Schizosaccharomyces pombe: one gene and its partners. The protein of the gene in region 2 purifies or fractionates together with the protein of the main gene of each other region. This does not show direct contact. Each region holds a gene or a part of one and is shown on either strand. Other genes may lie near its edges.

Region 1 (6,055 bases), on a different chromosome or scaffold from region 2:
TGTTTTAGTTGATGCCCTTTGGGCCATTTCCTATTTATCTGATGGCGCTAATGAGAAGATCCAAGCCATCATTGATGCAGGGATTCCTCGTAGGCTTGTTGAACTTTTAATGCATCCTAGCGCTCAAGTACAGACTCCTGCTCTCCGATCCGTAGGAAATATTGTTACAGGAGATGACGTTCAGACCCAGGTCATCATTAATTGTGGTGCTTTAAGTGCTTTACTTTCTTTGTTAAGCAGTCCACGCGATGGCGTTCGTAAGGAAGCCTGTTGGACAATTAGTAATATAACGGCCGGTAATTCTTCTCAAATTCAATATGTTATTGAAGCTAACATTATTCCTCCTTTAATTCATCTCCTTACGACCGCTGACTTTAAAATCCAAAAGGAAGCCTGCTGGGCCATTTCCAATGCCACATCCGGTGGCGCTCGTCGTCCCGACCAAATTCGCTACCTTGTAGAGCAAGGCGCAATCAAACCTTTATGTAATTTGCTGGCTTGTCAAGATAACAAGATTATCCAGGTTGCTTTAGATGGTATTGAAAATATTTTGCGAGTGGGTGAACTTGATCGCGCGAATAACCCTGATAAAATCAATTTATACGCCGTCTACGTTGAGGATGCTGGTGGTATGGATTTGATCCACGAATGTCAGAACTCATCTAATTCGGAAATTTACCAAAAAGCTTACAATATTATCGAAAAGTTTTTCGGTGAAGAAGACGAAATCGAAGAGCTTGAACCAGAAACCGTCGGTGATACGTTTACATTTGGAACTACACAAGAGCCTGCCGGCGATTTTCAATTTTCGGCGACTAATGCCGAAGATATGGCTATGTAATGATACTTCACATACATTATTCATTTATGCTTGTTTAGGTTTCGTTCTTTTTTAGATTGTTCATTTTCATAAACATCGAAGTGGCTTCATGATTTTGGCTGTGGTCCTGTGGTTTATAATATCGTTAAATTATTTCATTGAGCAATTGAGGATGCCGATTTTTTCATTTACCTTTACGTGTATGGCGCGATTGTTATTAGACGAGATTATTACATTTTAGGAGGTTTACCTAGACATACATTCCGCAGTTGTCACTCTTCTCATTTTGTTATATTGTTGTTTAATGATTGTGCTGGAAAGTTGAACATCTTGTACTTGTTAAATTATTTCTCAAGTCCGTCCTGAGTGTGCGTGTCGAAACGAACTTTTGTTTACTTTTTTTCATTCACTTTCTAACCAACGAATGGTTTATAGATCGTGGTTATTTTGTGAGTTTATTATTTGTTTTATTGACGAAACACAGGAATCATTCAACAGTTTTGGTCTTTGTTGTCGATTTAGTTGTAGCTTTTGGCTGCTCCACTACTAGATACAGGTTTTGTACCTTTGAAACAACATGGGACTAATTCAATTAATTTATTTTACATTGTCTTCATGATTGTACTTCCTCTATTGCTTAACTTTTATTTGAGGTTTTAGGAAGTTCAATATTTCCACCGCATTTGTCATCCTCTTTTCAACTTTTTTCTAATGAGACAGCTGATTCATCATTGTATTCATAACTTTGACCATCGCATCGAAAGAGGAAAATGAAATCAGATTTGTCTTGTTGATATGCATAGTTTCCTTTGAATAGCCATGAAAATGTAGCCTTATTCTTCTTTCACGATGCTCCATACTTTAGAGTTGGAGCTTTAATATTATTATATGTAACAATATTAGTACCAAACTATGATACATTACTTTGTGCTAGCAAAAATCTTCTAGTTAAATTTTGAATTTATTAACAAAGATCATAAGGCTGACATTAAAGACAATAATTGAATCTTCCTTACTCAATATAATATCTAAACCTAGTCATCTCGAAAAATTTGTAACCAGTGAACCTTCCATTTATTAAAGTCTGCTATACTACTTAACGACATTTTACGCAATATAACGACATTGTTCAATTACAGTAAACTCGTGTGCCCTAGCAATCTACAAAAAGTAAACATTACCCATATACGCCTTGCGAGGCGACCTTCCCTATCCTATGCATTTGGAAGTATCTGATATTGTCTAAAGACAATAACCAGAAGTTTTAAAAAAATTAATTTTATAGTTTTAAGGATCGGAAGTCGAAATTTGGTATCTAAATTTCACTTGTTGAAGCTTGCTCAGAATGAAACCGATAACGTCTTCTTCTAAACGCCGATGGAATCGGTTTCGAAGGGAAATGTGTAATTACTCTAAACGACTTGACACTTTCCAGAAAAAAAAATGGCCGCGAGCCAAACCGACGCCAGAAACTGTATGTTGACGATAGAGTTTTCATCTGTGTTGCTAACAAGAAAATAGCTTGCTACTGTCGGTTTCTATTACAATCCAATCTCTGAATCTAATTCTGAAGAAAGACTTGATAATGTTACATGCTATATGTGTACCAAGTCATTTTATGACTGGGAGGATGATGATGATCCATTGAAAGAGCATATTACTCATAGCCCCAGCTGTCCATGGGCATATATTTTATCCTCAAAAAACAATCCAAACCAGAACCCCCAAGCTGCAGCTCTCACAAAATGTCGAGAACAAACTTTTGTTGATAAAGTATGGCCGTATACCAATCGCCCTGATTATCACTGTGAGCCGAGTGTAATGGCTGCTTCTGGTTTTGTATACAATCCAACTGCTGATGCTAAAGATGCAGCTCATTGCTTATATTGTGATATTAATCTTCATGATTGGGAACCGGATGATGACCCTTACACCGAGCACAAACGCCGTCGTGCGGACTGTGTGTTTTTTACATGGAAAGACCCAAATAGCTTATCTCCTACTAAACTGTCTTTTTTATCTACGTCGAACATTGACCCTGAAGACTTGACCGAGGATAATTCCATTCTTCCCGTTTCTCCCACCCGAGATTCAACAAAATCTCATAAAACTTTAAATTTCTCCCCTAGTAGAAAGAATAATCTTAATGCACGTCCTTTAACAATGTCCCTTTATACTAATACCTCTGAGGAGAAAGACTCACAACCCACCCGTGCACCACAAAGTCCAACGAAGCCCGTTTTACTTACGGCTCCAAGGCGAAAAAATAAATCTCCAAAAAAATCAAAGCCAGCAGTCTTTAAACCTGTTAAGCCAATTTTTTCTGATGAAGACGAAGATGACGACGACTTGACCGCCTCTCAACCCTTCTCTAAAGGGATATGTAATGACTCTATGCAAGTAGCCAAAAAGAATTTTACAGAAGAAATTCCACTTAAAGAAGATGAAAAAGATAATGAGCTGGAACATCTTGTATCACCAGCTACATCCGTCCACACAACTGTTTCTGACATAACTGGACATCAATCTGTAACTGATGAAAGTGATGAGCAAAATAATTGTATGTCTACGCCGCCGAAAATTGAAATCGAATCAAAAATTGAAGAAGAAATATCTGTGGTTTCCAAATCAAAGGAAATTTCGTCTTCTGTTTCTTCTGTTGGTAAAGAGCAAAATCATACAGAAAAACAAGTTGCTATCGAAACTCCGGAACAGCAGAAGGTTGAAAAAGAAGATGAGCATTTAAATCTTCAAGGTTCGTTCATAGAGGAGTCCACAAAACAACCAATCTCTTCAAAGCCATCAACTTCATCTCCCGATATGACTGATGCTGCAACAGGAGGTAGAGTGTCTTCTTCAAGCTTCAGAGATAAAATATTACAAACCAATTTTTCACCAAGGAGTACAATAGATTCGTTTAGCAACATTTCAAAAAAGAGAAACTCGGAAGAAGCAAATGATGAAAATGACGAGACCAATTTGAAAATACCAATTCCTGAAAAGAAGAGAAAATTTCAAGAAGTTTTACAATCTAAAAACATTTTAGTTTCGTCTACTGAGGATTCACATGAACCAGTAAAAGTTACAGAGGACAGCCAAACTGCCATTCACGTTAGTAAATTTGAGGATCTTGAGAATAAGAGTATGGAGTCTGAACAGTCACTACAATTGCTTTCTGAATCTGAAAATGATGACAAACCTTTAATTGATCTAATTCCTCTCTTAGCAATTAAAAGGAAGGATAATCTTGTAAGCGGAGTTTTAGAGAAGGGAAAAAGTACCTCAACATCAAAAACAAAGTTTGATACATCAATAGTGGACTTTATAGAAAAACCAAAAACTGAAATTAGCGAAGTGCTTCCTGAGGAAAAAAGAAAGGCCATTTGCGATGAGTCCCAAACGGTTAGAGTTTCTATAGATAGAGGAGTGACCAAGACGAGAGACGTATCAAGTCCTGTTTCCGATGAAAAAAGTGAAAATGTTAATCATGAGGAAGCTAATTCTGGTCATACTGTCATGAATGTTCATTCAAGCCTGGATCCCCAGCCGATCGTACAACCCAATGAACTTGAATCAGGAAGTTACTTAAAGGATCTTCCTGACAGAAACGTCGGAAACTCCGAAAAAGTGACATTTCAAGAAGATGACATTAATTCTCCTAAGCTACAGAGCAAGAACAATCAAACCGTTGAAGCTGTTAATACAGAAACTTCTGATAAATTGCAAGAAAAGGAGGCCAACCATGAATTAGAAAATATTGAAAAGATTGAAGAAAAATTGACTGAGGTAGACAAAGTCTCGTTAAGTGATGCTTTTCCTGATCAAGAAATCAAAAATTCTAGGACTTCTGTACAGAATGGTACTAGATCAGTGTCGAAAAATACACCTGAGAAGGAAACGAAGGTAGATAAAATCGATAATGTAAGTAAAAAGGATGTTGAAACTTCACCTGGTTCTTGTGAAACCTCTTCAGCTTTCGCTAAAACTTACGCTGAGAAAGAAGTAACGAGTATAAATTTGCCAAGTGTCCGGAAGCCTTTAGATGAATCCTACTATGACCATTCGATCAGTCCATTTGATCCATTGTGCCAATCTTCATTTTTGGCTCCTCAAACTCCTGTCAAATCAAAACATGCTTTGCCCTTAGTTGAAGCAAATGCACCACCATGGGAACCCATAGATTTCTCGAGTCTATTAGAATCTCCAGTACCGAATCCTGTAGAGCCAAACAAACTAAGTGAAAAAGAACTGGATATGACCGTTGAGCAGTGGATTAAATTTATGTATGCTAAATGTGCAAAAGAGTTTGAAGAAGCCTGTGAAGAAAAAATAGAATGGTTACTGGAAGAAGGTAAGCGGGCGGAAGAATACATACAAAACTTATAATTTTACATATTGTGTTTCTGTATTTATGGACCGTCTCGCTTTAAGCGAAAATGTTGGCGGGCTACATTTTAAAGTAATGTGAACTAAATTTGTCTGAATGCACTGTCAGCGTCCTTTTCTTTCTTTTTCTTTTATGTTTCTTGTTTTGTTAATCGGATCCTCTTATTATCTGTATTTATATCAACACTACGCTAATCTGGTGATGTAGTCTTAATAATTCTTCTTATAGTATTTATTTTTTTGGCAGCACAATATACAAATATGGTACTATATTTGAGTCAATATGAATAGAATGAATTAAACAACAAGATAGTGAAAGTAAAGTATAACGAACGTTGAAAAGAACCGGAAGCATTACCCATACTACTCAGCTTCGACCTTAATTTCAACAGAAGATGAACCACCAATTACAACCCTAAATGTACCAATAGCATCTTCTTGAAATACCGCTTCACCCAGTTTAGTATGTCCAAGCAAGTTGGAAGTAACGGCTGAAATTCGAAGTTCGTCACCCAAACTCCATTTGACCGGAATCTCTTCGTTCCATGAGGGAGACGGGCCTTTCCGAGATTTGGTTTTAAAGCTGTGGTCTTGATTGTCTGTAACGATAATCTTTATAGTCTTATGAGGCATATTTTTACCTTGACCAACGTATACTTTATACTTTTTCTGTGCCAATTCAGGTGCTCCCGTAGTCTTGTCAATAGTGCTAGTTAAGGCAGCGTTTGCAGACTCAGGTGCAATAGCCGGTGGCACAGAAGCAGAAGAAGAAGCTTCCTGGGTTGTCGTGAGATCAGAGCGAGATGGATTCTTTTCCAAGGAACGCCTAAACATGCCCATTTTGGAAAT
Region 2 (3,224 bases):
CACTTTGCCAATGCAAAATGATGAATTCACTGATGAGTCTGTAAATTTTGAAAATCGCTGGAAGCAGGAACTAAAGACTCCCATATCTCGATTTTCCAAGTTTCTGCGGCCTATACCTCCTAATACCCGTTGACATTTACGATTGACGGAGAGAGTTAGTTCTCTTTTTTTTTATCTAACCATTTGAAATGAGTTGAGAGTATATTGATAAACCTTTAGATATGTATAATATAATAGTCATTGCTTTGAAAAGTTTAATACATAGTCGAAAATTCGTGTAACAGTAGCATCAATAATCCTGCAACACATTACAAGTACGTGTGGAATACTTAAAAAAAAAAAAAAAAAACTTTAAGCAGGAAGTGAACGCTTCACTTGATAATTTTAAAAGGACTTTACCAAATCGTTAGGAGAGTAATGCTCCATAAGATGTTCAAAGCAAGTACTACGACTTACAGTAGCAGGCGGTCAAACAAATTTAAAAAAAAAATTTTTTTCTTACAATGAAAAATTTACAAAAATGAAATACGTATAATAAAAAAAAAACTATTTAAATTAATAAAAACAGATTAACAAAGGAAAAAAAATTAAAAACTACAAAGCTTTAAAACAGTGTTTCAGAATAAGTCAAGTGAGAAAGCAAAAACATAAAAATTAATATGCTAAACCCGACATTAAACCAAGGAAATATACATGACAATGATTGAAAAAATTAGGAAATGCAAAACTTAAACCCAATAAACACAATATACCAAATAAAATATTAGGCAATCAATGCATTTAAGAGCGTTCGCCACGAAGACGACGGGCCAATTGCATATCCTTGGGTTGAATGGTAACACGCTTGCCATGGATAGCGCAAAGATTGGTATCTTCGAAGAGAGAGACAAGATAAGCCTCGACAGCTTCTTGAAGAGCACCAATTGCGGAGGATTGGAAACGCAAGTCAGTCTTAAAATCTTGGGCAATTTCACGGACCAAACGTTGGAAGGGAAGTTTGCGAATCAACAATTCAGTAGACTTTTGGTAACGACGGATTTCACGAAGAGCGACAGTACCAGGACGATAACGATGAGGCTTCTTGACACCGCCAGTAGCGGGAGCGGCCTTACGGGCAGCCTTAGAGGCCAATTGCTTACGGGGTGCCTTACCACCGGTAGATTTACGAGCAGTTTGCTTGGTACGAGCCATAACGTAATTCGGTAAATAAACTTACAAAAAGGTTCTTTCCACGTCGGGTGTGGACACTTCCTGCTATATATACCTCAGTCAATCACAACCCTAACCCTGATTTAAGATTGCGATTTCGGCTTCCCCGCTACCTGAAAAAATGTATATATATATGGAGATGGACGCCTAACTACAGCACTTACACAGTAACTACTACGACTAGTACGAGAAGCCATTGAAATTCAAATCATAGGAATTTCAGTGTTTGCGCTTGAAAATTAGTTTTTGATATTGTAAATTGATCAATTGGTAGTCAGTTTGTTTGAACTTACAGGAATCCCATTACTCATATAAGATGTCTGGTCGTGGAAAAGGTGGTAAAGGATTGGGAAAGGGTGGTGCTAAGCGCCATCGTAAGATCCTTCGTGATAACATTCAAGGTATTACTAAGCCTGCCATTCGTCGTCTTGCTCGTCGTGGCGGTGTTAAGCGTATTTCTGCTTTGGTTTACGAAGAGACTCGTGCCGTTCTCAAGCTTTTCTTGGAAAACGTTATCCGTGATGCAGTTACCTACACTGAACACGCCAAGCGTAAGACTGTCACTTCCTTGGACGTTGTCTACTCTTTGAAGCGTCAAGGCCGTACCATTTATGGTTTCGGTGGTTAAACTGGTTGCACACTTTTCGATATTGAAGTGAATTGTATTTTCTTTTTCTTTTTTTCCTACTTTGCATATTAATAGTTGTTTCTCTTTTTATCTTTACTCATTTCTCTTTTAATATCCATTCAATGAATATTTATTTGCACGAAAATGGTTGGTTTTCCTTGAAGAAATGCAATTTTATTGAAGGGATTTGTTTTTCTTTCATTATGGATTGCACGTCTGAGAAATTTTTACCCAACCTTGTGTCTGACTTACTCTGGGAGTAAGCTCTGTTTTTAGAAATAAATAAATAAATTGTTTTTATCTAACATTTATGGGGGGGAGGACAAGAAAACACACAAATTTAGCCTGTAGTTATCACGTTTCATTAATGTATGTTTGGAAGGTTGGAGTCATATCATAACTATGCTAATATATTGTAGGCTTCAATTTGAGAAAAAATTGGGCACGAACCCATCTATTTATATTATACAAAGAGAACTCTACAAGCTGATTGTAAGGTAAATGTACTGAAAGCAAGCTGTCTTCTTTTCCCAACAGGGAAACTCATCTGTGCGTGAATTTATTACTCACGTATTGTGGCTATAATTTTTGATAAACGATGTGACTGTATTTTAAGGAAAAGCGGATTCTCGAAGCAAATTTTTCAGCTGAGTATCTTAGTGTATCGGTAGGTGAAGCAAAACTGGATGTCTTTGGTACACTGTCGCCAATAGCGATAGACGGGCATTTGGCAAACCGTTTTATCACTCTGTCGGAATTGAGAAGCGTAAAGAGTGAAATTTCGCTTTCATCTCGAAATAGCCCACGTCCTCCTACTAATTTATGAACTTCCATAGCCAAGCAAATGAAACAATCAAATAATAATAAAGAGAGCAATGTCAGATAGAGAAATGTGGCAATTATGCAATTGCGGAAGTTCAAATCAAATTAAACAAGCTTCTGCTCTTTTCCGTTCAGTCTGTTAACATACGTGATTAATAAAAGCGATGAACAACAGGAACATATGCAGCGATTTTCAATAAAAATGCCACCATTTTTGCTCTATGATATTAATAATATGAAATAGAAAGTATATACACAGATTATTAGTACATTGAAACAGTGTTTATTAGATTTTTACACTACTGAATTATACTTTTCTTATTTACTTAAAAGGTTTTTGTTCGTTAGTTTTTAAATTAAAATAACTTTTCTTTCTTTTATTTTTATTTACCCTTTTTTAATACTTGCTCTTTCACTTGATTTTGTCTTCAACACACTTTAGCCGTTTCACAAGTTGCCCTAAAAGCGCCGTTGATAGAACACGGTACAATGCTCTGCCTGTCCTGCAACAGTTTATTGTCCTTGAATTCTTTGTGTGTTTGACAGATACATTTTGAGACATTGT
Region 3 (4,123 bases), 1.2 Mb from region 2:
TCTAAGGAACAATCTCGAGGTGTTGGGTTTGCTCGTATGCAAGATCGTAAAACGGCTGAAGACATAATTAATAAATTTAATAACTTTGTCTTGGATCCTGCTTTACCCCCATTACAAATCCGTTTTGCTGATTCCACTGATCAGAAGAAGTTTAAAGGTCAGACTCAGAAAAGAAGATTATGGCGTGCTCGTGAATACAGTGTTTTAACTAAGGGAATGACAGCTAATAATGCTTTTTCCAAAGTTGAGGAGTTCGCAAATAACTCTATGCCCTCTAAAGTTGGAATGTATGTGCCATTGGAGTCGAACACAGTCTATCAACATTCACCCACTTATGATACTTACGGTTGGCAAAGTATGTATCCCTCTTATTCCGTTTATCCCTCAAACTATGAAAACAGCAGAAGTACTACGCCATATCATGCCCATCCCGCTACTTCTGCTGCTAATTAAATTTAAACATCTTTCCAGCATTTACTTGAACATCAAACTCTAATATCGAAATCTTTTCAAACACTTATCACATACTCAAACTTAAACCAACATAAAACCTGTTAGACAAAGCTTACAATTAAGGGCCAAAGCTTTCTTTCTATGTTTTTTCTTTTATTTATTATCAGGTTATATAACAAAGGTCAAACCACTACAGTATTAATGAATGATATTATACATATTTGCTTAATCGTATAAAAAGAGAGAGGTATAAATAGTCCTTGAGTGTTCAAGATAATTGCACACTGTGAATTAAGAGGATAAAAGGGATGCAAAATTCTCCTTGATTATCCAACCATCAGATACTGATTTTCCTTTACGCACAGCGACTTTTCCAAGAGTTTCGCTGATAATATTTTTGGTTACGTAAGGAAACATGTGCCTCAAATTCTCGATCAGGAATACTTTGTTGTCATGAGAGTTACGGACATATTCTATAAATTTGGGTATATCTTCAGAAGGAAACCTTACTTGTAAATCATCAGAAAGTGAACTGGTAGGTCCAATTGTCATTCCACTAGACGCTGGAGCAGTATCTTGAGAAGCCCATAAATCCTCTTTAGGATCAATTTGGAGATATGTAGATGCTGAAAATGAACTAATGGGTTCAATTAAAGATAAGCAATTAAAGTCAGGAAGAAACTTTGAATCCCAAACCGGACCTTCTACGATTACCTCTAATGGGCCGGAGGAACGATGGGTATTAGAAGCATTGACACTATCCTTGTCATCATCCTCATCATCCACAAAAGCATTATCACCATCCTCTACAATATCATCGGAATTATCTACCTCTTCATCTTCACTTTCTAAATCTTCTCCATCATCTTCCTCATCAGCTACCCATTCTGCTTCTGAATCATATGTGTAGTCTATGTCTTCATCTTCAAGCCAGGGATTCAATAAAACGTTAGAACCATGGGAATGGGTTTTCGTGTAAGATCCAAAATATGGAGGGCGAACATCCTGATAAAAGAAAATGAATTTAATAGGAATCTGTGATAAACAAGATAAAATTTCTTGAGGTTTTGAAACAGATGGATCTTGATATGCGCTCATTAATTGTCGAACCTCGTTTTCGGAATTTCTATTACTAACACCTAAACTGTTTGCGGAGCTTACAGCATCTGATGGTGTAAAAATGTCGTTTAGCTTTAAAGGATAAGATTTAGAGGTTGAGAGGACTTCATCCAAAAAAGAATCAGATTCGTTCGGAGATGGATATTTGGAAAGGGACATCTGATGCTTTATAAAAAAAGGGCGAAACTCTTTCTCAAACTCATTCAGTTCATCCGTTTTGTCAGCTACAAAATTTTCGTTTGGCGCGATTCGTTTCTCAACTCCTTTGGTGAAAAAGTTGTTTAACTTCAATTGTTGTCTTTCCTTATTAAGGATTTGTTCTTGACGAAGGCGCTGTGCTTCTTCTTTCTCACGAAGCTTTTGATCCCTCTCCTCCTTCCGCCTTTGTTGTTCCTGCAATCGAATCCGCTCCTTCTCTAATTTCTCTAATTCTTTCATTTTCTTAGCGGCGATTTTTTCCTGTTCTCTTAGCTTTTTCTCTTGCTCTCGTTGTTGACGTTCCTTTTCACGTTTTAAACGCTCTGCTTCTTTTTGTCGAATCCTTTCCTCTTGGGCCCGCTGTTTTTGAAGCTTCTTTTCTTTACCCGCTTCAGCAGAGCCATTATAAATTCTTTTCTTTCTATTACCCTCATAACTTAATTTGCAAACGTACTCATCAGCTTCACTTGCAGAGTGACTGGAATGAATAACCGATTCATTCGGGGAACTCACTGATAAAGACGTAATGTCAGTGGAAGAGCTACATAACTCATTTCCCTTATTACTAGTAGAGGCCGCGACATCTGAATCAACACTTTCACTATTCATAGACAATGCTGCGAATATCAATAACAAGCCTAAGGGAGGCTAAAAACCGTGCGTAAGTTGTTTTAACGGACGCTCTGATCGAATAAAGAGGATAAAGGAGAGTTCGTAAATTATATGTTAATATTCTATTATATACATCACTATCCCAAATCTGTCTCACCAATCTATTATTCATCCATCTTAACGCTTATATAATTGAATAATTTAATTCCTTAGTTCTAACAAGATATGTACTGATTGATCTGAGTAGCTTAAACATCAAAGTTTTTTGCGAATGGGTTAATATGGTGATTTGTTATATATTTTACCTGACTACGATTATATAATATTACTGCTACATTGCATTACGATATTAATGTTAATATTTTATGGCTCATCTATATTATGATTGAGTTAATATCAGTTGACGAGAATTTTCTTTGAAATTATTTGCCATATTTTTTAACTGGTGATTGGAGTACCACAAATTCATTAATAATGAAACAAACGGATGTTGTTATCATCAATTTTCTTCCTATTTATATGCAGCAAACTTCTTTCAATAACGATGCATCGTACATATATAGGCAGGGGCTATGCAGCTTAGAATAGTAATTCGCTGGAAGGATAATATCATAATAACGAGGTTCTTGTTACAGTGAATATCAAGTTGCACTATATATTATATCGTGGATTTCTGAAACTTTATGAGATGTAATCGTAATGAGTAGGTAACAATATCTAATCAAGTAAAGACGCGTACGCGAGTTTCATACACACCTTGTACATTCCTTTTACCAAGTTTTCCTAATGGGACGTTTACTAAGACTGGAAGTTGAAAACTTTAAGTCTTATCGAGGACATCAAATTATAGGTCCTTTTGAGGACTTTACCTCGATTATCGGTCCTAATGGAGCCGGAAAATCGAATTTAATGGATGCCATTTCTTTTGTTTTAGGGGTCAAGTCTTCTCATTTACGATCAACTAATGTTAAAGAACTGATCTATCGGGGGAAAATACTGCAAAGAGATAATACAGATTTCACTGATTCTAGTAATCCTACTACAGCATATGTGAAACTTATGTATGAGTTGGATAATGGGGAGCAAAGAGAGTATAAACGCGCAATCACTCCTTCTGGTGCTACTGAATACAAAATTGATGAAGAAATAGTTACGTTTTCTGAATACTGCGGATCTCTCCAAAAGGAGAATATTCTTGTTCGAGCTCGAAATTTCTTAGTTTTTCAAGGTGATGTTGAAACCATTGCTTCGCAATCTCCTTTAGAACTTTCAAAGCTTGTTGAACAAATAAGTGGCTCTCTGGAATATAAATCTGAGTACGATAAATCTAAAGACGAGCAGGACAAGGCTGTAAATTTATCTGCTCATTCGTTTAACAAGAAACGTGGTATCAACGCTGAGTTACGCCAATATCAAGAACAGAAAACTGAAGCCGAGCGTTATCAAAGTCAAAAAGAAAAACGAGACTCTGCGCAGTTAGTTTACCTTTTATGGAAACTCTTTCATCTAGAGAAAAGTATTAGTTCTAATATGGCAGAGGTTACTCGATTAAAGGCAGATTCCATTCAACTTATCGAAAGGCGAGATGAGAACACTAAAGAGATAGAAAAGTTGAAAGAAAAAGAGGGCAGTATACGAAGAAACCTTCTTGCATTCGATAGAAAAGTTCGAAAACAAGAAAAGTTGATTGCTTCGAAACGTCCAGAGCTCATTTCAATTGCCGAGAAAGCCCTAGAGTCTA
Region 4 (4,196 bases), on a different chromosome or scaffold from region 2:
AACGGAAAACAAACACTTAAAGTAATCCAGTCATTCGTCCAAAAACTTTTCTGAGAATTCGCAGTTTTAACAGCGTTCTTACGCATCTATCCAAACGAACCTTATTTTTTTTTCTTCTTCATCGAACGAATCATACAAAAAACATCAAAAAAAGCGATTAATCAATTCAATGGTGCATCAACAACTCTTTCTGTACAAGTGTTGCTTCATAAAGAGGGTTAAACGACTTTACTTCTTGGGAACAGTCTGACGATTCTGAAAGGCCATCATGCTGCCGATGTATTGGCACAGATACTCGCTTTCTCGACTAATGTTTTCAGATTCCTGTTTGTTTTGATCGATCTCATCCAACAAAGCTATCAATTGTTAGTCTTTTCTTTCTCCAAAACGCACCGCCATCGTACCTTGCAATTGCTGTTGCAATTCCATCGCTTTCCTATCAATTTAGCAAAGAACTAGCAAAACCACTTACTGCTCCATCAAACTTCTTGGCAAGGAATCTGTACTCATTGAGTAATGCGCTTTTTTTGTTTTTTTGCGGAAAATGGGAGGTTGGGAAGTGTCTTACCAGCGTAGCGTCAATACATGTCATTTCCCATTGCTGTGACTTAGGGGTGTCACTCAATTTAAAGAGGCCACTGCAAGAGACATTATCCTTAATTGAGTTGAGTATTGCTATACGCAATATTTAAATAGCGTTTTATGTCATAATACGTTTTATTAGCGAACGGATTACATTGGAGTACGCAACTGATGGGTCTTGCAATAAACAAATATACATAGGGCGAAAACTAGAATGAGTGCTGCTGTCTTTTGGATGAATAAGTTAAATATGGAACATACTAATAATGGATCCACACATTAATAAACTGGAAAAAGATCCCGTCCCGTAAGGATAAATCGAGGAGAGAAAGCTTGCGTCTGTGCCCTAATTATGTTTTGAAAAACATGAAATGCACACTTCATACACCAGGATGCGAAAGTCTTTCAACAATTTACATGGGAAAAAAAGAAAATAATAATCTAATAGAACTCCGTTCCAAAATATGGAACGTTGGTACAAATGATGCGTTTAGGGCGATTGGAAGAGGCATACAATAGATGCTTCTTCCCTCCATTATGCAACGGAAAGGTCGACGGTTCAAAAATGAATTTAAATAAAAGATGTGTTATGAAAAATGCTTTATGGTAACAGGAAAAAAAATGCTATTCCTCTTTTCCCATTCCATAGTTTTTATTCTCACACTATCACCAGTCATGAATATTTTACATCGAAAAAATAACGGGTAGAGCGATATATATGCGCAAACTAAAAGAGAGTATACAAAAAAGTAATCATGTTCTTTATCGGATTAGTTCTTGTCAATATTAGTATTAGCATTCAAAAAATAGTCCGATTATCATTTTACTGAGACGTCTCTGGTTTCTCCTCAGGTTTCTCTTCCGCAGCTGAAGCATTTGCAAGAGCCGACTCTTCTTCTTCTTCCTCTATATCAATTTCTTCTTCTTCTTCTTCTTCCGATCCTTTCCCATCATTTTCTCCTTCTCCATCACCATCACCTTCTCCATCACCGTCTCCATCGTCTTCCTCCTCCTCCTCCTCATCGCCTTCTCCCTCTTCATCGAATTCTTCCTCCATTTCATCAGCTTCCTCCTCTTCTTCCTCTTCGTCCGCGTCAGGCTGAACTGGTGGAGCATCGTCAAAGTCGGGATTATCCCACTGAATGTTGAATCGAGTCACCCTTGGCTTTTCTGCTAAAATACTGCGCCAGACTTTAGAAATGTCAACCTTGACCTTTTTAATTTCTGCATCGTCCATTTCCTGAAGGTTCAGGCCCTCCATCTCATTGTTGACATAATAACCTACTCGAACAAACTCATTATCCTCATATGCACAAGAGAGTAAAATAACTGTGACACCCAAAACATCGCTGAGTTGAGGTAAAAGATCGATATTAGGAGGATCAGCTTCAAAAACGAATTTATTAATCCCGATTGGTATAGGTCCCACTAGTAGCGTGTCCAAAATTTGGTCGTAACTTTGAGACGTCGCACTACCTACATATGTCAACTTCCATTCCAGGTCGCTTTTTAACGGCTCCAGACATTCAAAGGTAATTTCGAATTTATATGGATCAGAGAACTTTGCCGGATTATTTAGCACATTAACACTAAGGATATTCACGATTGACATTTCGAAGTGAAACGCGTCTAAGCGATTGCCAAGAACAGCGTAGGTGAAGAAAGGTTTCGTAGAGTTCGGATAATTAAGGATACGCTTGACTATTTTATATCGCTTTTCGTGCTCTAAGGTAATAACACCTATTTGATTCAAACATATAAGGATTAAAATGCAGTAAATATAAATACTGAAGGCACATCTAAACAATGCCTCACTATTCGGTAAACAATAGAAAACATAACCATTGTTAAGTATTTTATGCGAAAGTACGAAGAACTTACAGAGCAGTTTAGTTAAACATAACCGTTGTTTAATAAAAATTTCTATTTCATTAATAATGCATGCAATGTACAATTAATATGATCATCAAATTTCATTGTGCAAAAACAACTCGTATGTGAAACATAAAAAATAGACATAACCTCCTTCATCTCTAATTATTAAAAAAGATATACAAGCGGATTAAAACATATATTTAGGGTTATTGTAAGTTCCTTCGATCATTCGGTTATATAATATTGATGCAGCTTAACAGCAAATCCGAATGACTTGTTAATGATGTGAATTTCCATCAGTATGGAATTGTAGTACCATCATAGTTGAAAAAAAATCCATTATTTTCGGGCTTCAAATTGTCTACAACTTTCAACATATCTGAAGCGCTTTGGTCTGGTGCCAAGGCCTGTTTCGCAAAGATATCTAAAATTTCCGGTTTCGCTTCAGCATGCTGATTTACAGCTTCCTGAGCTGAATCGGTTCGAACCATTCCGGGATGAATTGAAATCACTATGAATCCTTCATCTTGTAGCTCAAAACTAATTTCCTTCATTGTAAAATTTAAAGCAGCCTTGGATTGGCCATAACCAGATTGGTTAAATGGGAAGAAAGCACCCATGGATCCAACTAATGATGAAGTAAAAACAATGATTTTAGATTCTCCTTTCTTCACAAGAGGATAAAAGGCTTGGTAGACATGAATTGGTCCTAAAACATTGGTTTTATAGTGAGAGTTCCAGACATCATCAGGAGTATTCAGAACAGTGTTGAAAGAATGAAAAATGCCCGAATTTACCCAAAGAACATCTACTTTACCTACAGCTTTTGCAACTTCTTGAGCGGCTTCATTAGCACTCTCTAGAGAGGAGATATCTAACTTAATAATATGCACATTGGAATGAGACTTGCTCCATTCTTGTAATTCAGTAGCAGCTTCAGGCTTGCGGGCACTTGCAAATACAACTGTTCCTTCTCTGTTGCTCAATTCCTTAACAAGAGAGAGTCCAATGCCTCGATTTCCTCCTGCAATAAAGTAAATTTTGTTGGTAGTAGACATATTCTAACACAATATTTGAATGATCCTTGAATCCGTTTGAAAAGTGTAATTTGGTGTCGGCAATTTATCATTAACTTCGTGCTTATATACCAATTCTTCAAATCATTATGCTTACGTGATTTGAACCGTGAATTTTGATGCTTACATAATTGAATATACTTCCAAAATCAGCAGGTTCATAGTAGTTCACGTAGAGCGTTAGGTGATATTTTGCCATATAATATGGATATTGCAACTAATCTTTATAACCCGTTCCATTGGTTTGTCAGCTGCTTCCTTGATACTGCTTGCATACTGAATAGTATTCCTTTAAATGCACCTTTCTTTTAATTTCCTTGATAAAGTATCATAAAGGGAGAATTTATTTGAAAATTGTTTAATTGATAATGCTGAGACATTGGCCATAGGAGAAAAGCGTTGAATCAGGATACAAAAAAACAACTCTTTTAAACCTTGAAGTCCTTTCACAATAAAAATTATTAAACAAAAAAAACATAGAAATAGAATAATTTTAAGATAAAATATAAGTTTGCAACCGATTTAAGCATTGCTGTATGAACACTTGAATTTTTTATATGCGACGCCCTTCTTTATATATCCAAAGGTTGAATAAAACGTATCAAGATCTAAAACTGCTGAACAATCCAAGTGGCACCTTGGACTCGCTCAAACTTTTTATGC

The links.
Region 1: the proteins of hht2 (region 2) and bir1 purify together in Schizosaccharomyces pombe (affinity purification with western blotting, with the first as the bait; one study listed by BioGRID). This does not show direct contact.
Region 3: the proteins of hht2 (region 2) and pcf1 purify together in Schizosaccharomyces pombe (affinity purification with western blotting, with the first as the bait; one study listed by BioGRID). This does not show direct contact.
Region 4: the proteins of hht2 (region 2) and asf1 purify together in Schizosaccharomyces pombe (affinity purification with western blotting; 3 studies listed by BioGRID, with this or other methods). This does not show direct contact.

The regions. Positions count from the first base shown.
Region 1 is NC_003421.2:545,259-551,313, reverse strand, and holds bir1 (survivin Bir1), read left to right. Parts: upstream 1-2,014; 5' UTR 2,015-2,165; coding exon 2,166-2,294; exon of another isoform or gene 2,295-2,341; coding exon 2,342-5,206; 3' UTR 5,207-5,509; downstream 5,510-6,055. Other genes in the region: importin alpha family nuclear import signal receptor adaptor Cut15, read left to right, coding at 1-841; tricalbin, C2 domain protein (phospholipid binding) ER-plasma membrane tethering protein Tcb1, read right to left, coding at 5,570-6,055. UniProt on the Schizosaccharomyces pombe protein: Component of the chromosomal passenger complex (CPC), a complex that acts as a key regulator of chromosome segregation and cytokinesis.
Region 2 is NC_003423.3:1,363,125-1,366,348, reverse strand, and holds hht2 (histone H3 h3.2), read right to left. Parts: upstream 1,231-3,224; 5' UTR 1,192-1,230; coding exon 781-1,191; 3' UTR 531-780; downstream 1-530. Other genes in the region: protein Sfi1, read left to right, coding at 1-133; hhf2 (histone H4 h4.2), read left to right, coding at 1,526-1,837. UniProt on the Schizosaccharomyces pombe protein: Core component of nucleosome. Nucleosomes wrap and compact DNA into chromatin, limiting DNA accessibility to the cellular machineries which require DNA as a template.
Region 3 is NC_003423.3:2,537,575-2,541,697, forward strand, and holds pcf1 (histone H3-H4 chaperone, CAF assembly factor (CAF-1) complex subunit A Pcf1), read right to left. Parts: upstream 2,411-4,123; 5' UTR 2,380-2,410; coding exon 745-2,379; 3' UTR 554-744; downstream 1-553. Other genes in the region: spo5 (meiotic RNA-binding protein 1), read left to right, coding at 1-453; psm1 (mitotic/meiotic cohesin complex ATPase subunit Psm1/Smc1), read left to right, coding at 3,169-4,123. UniProt on the Schizosaccharomyces pombe protein: Acts as a component of the histone chaperone complex chromatin assembly factor 1 (CAF-1), which assembles histone octamers onto DNA during replication and repair.
Region 4 is NC_003421.2:1,642,362-1,646,557, forward strand, and holds asf1 (histone H3-H4 chaperone Asf1), read right to left. Parts: upstream 2,224-4,196; 5' UTR 2,195-2,223; coding exon 1,406-2,194; 3' UTR 541-1,405; downstream 1-540. Other genes in the region: SPOM_SPCC663.18 (GTPAse-interacting protein), read right to left, coding at 229-356, 405-436, 473-510; osr1 (dehydrogenase), read right to left, coding at 2,754-3,515. UniProt on the Schizosaccharomyces pombe protein: Histone chaperone that facilitates histone deposition and histone exchange and removal during nucleosome assembly and disassembly.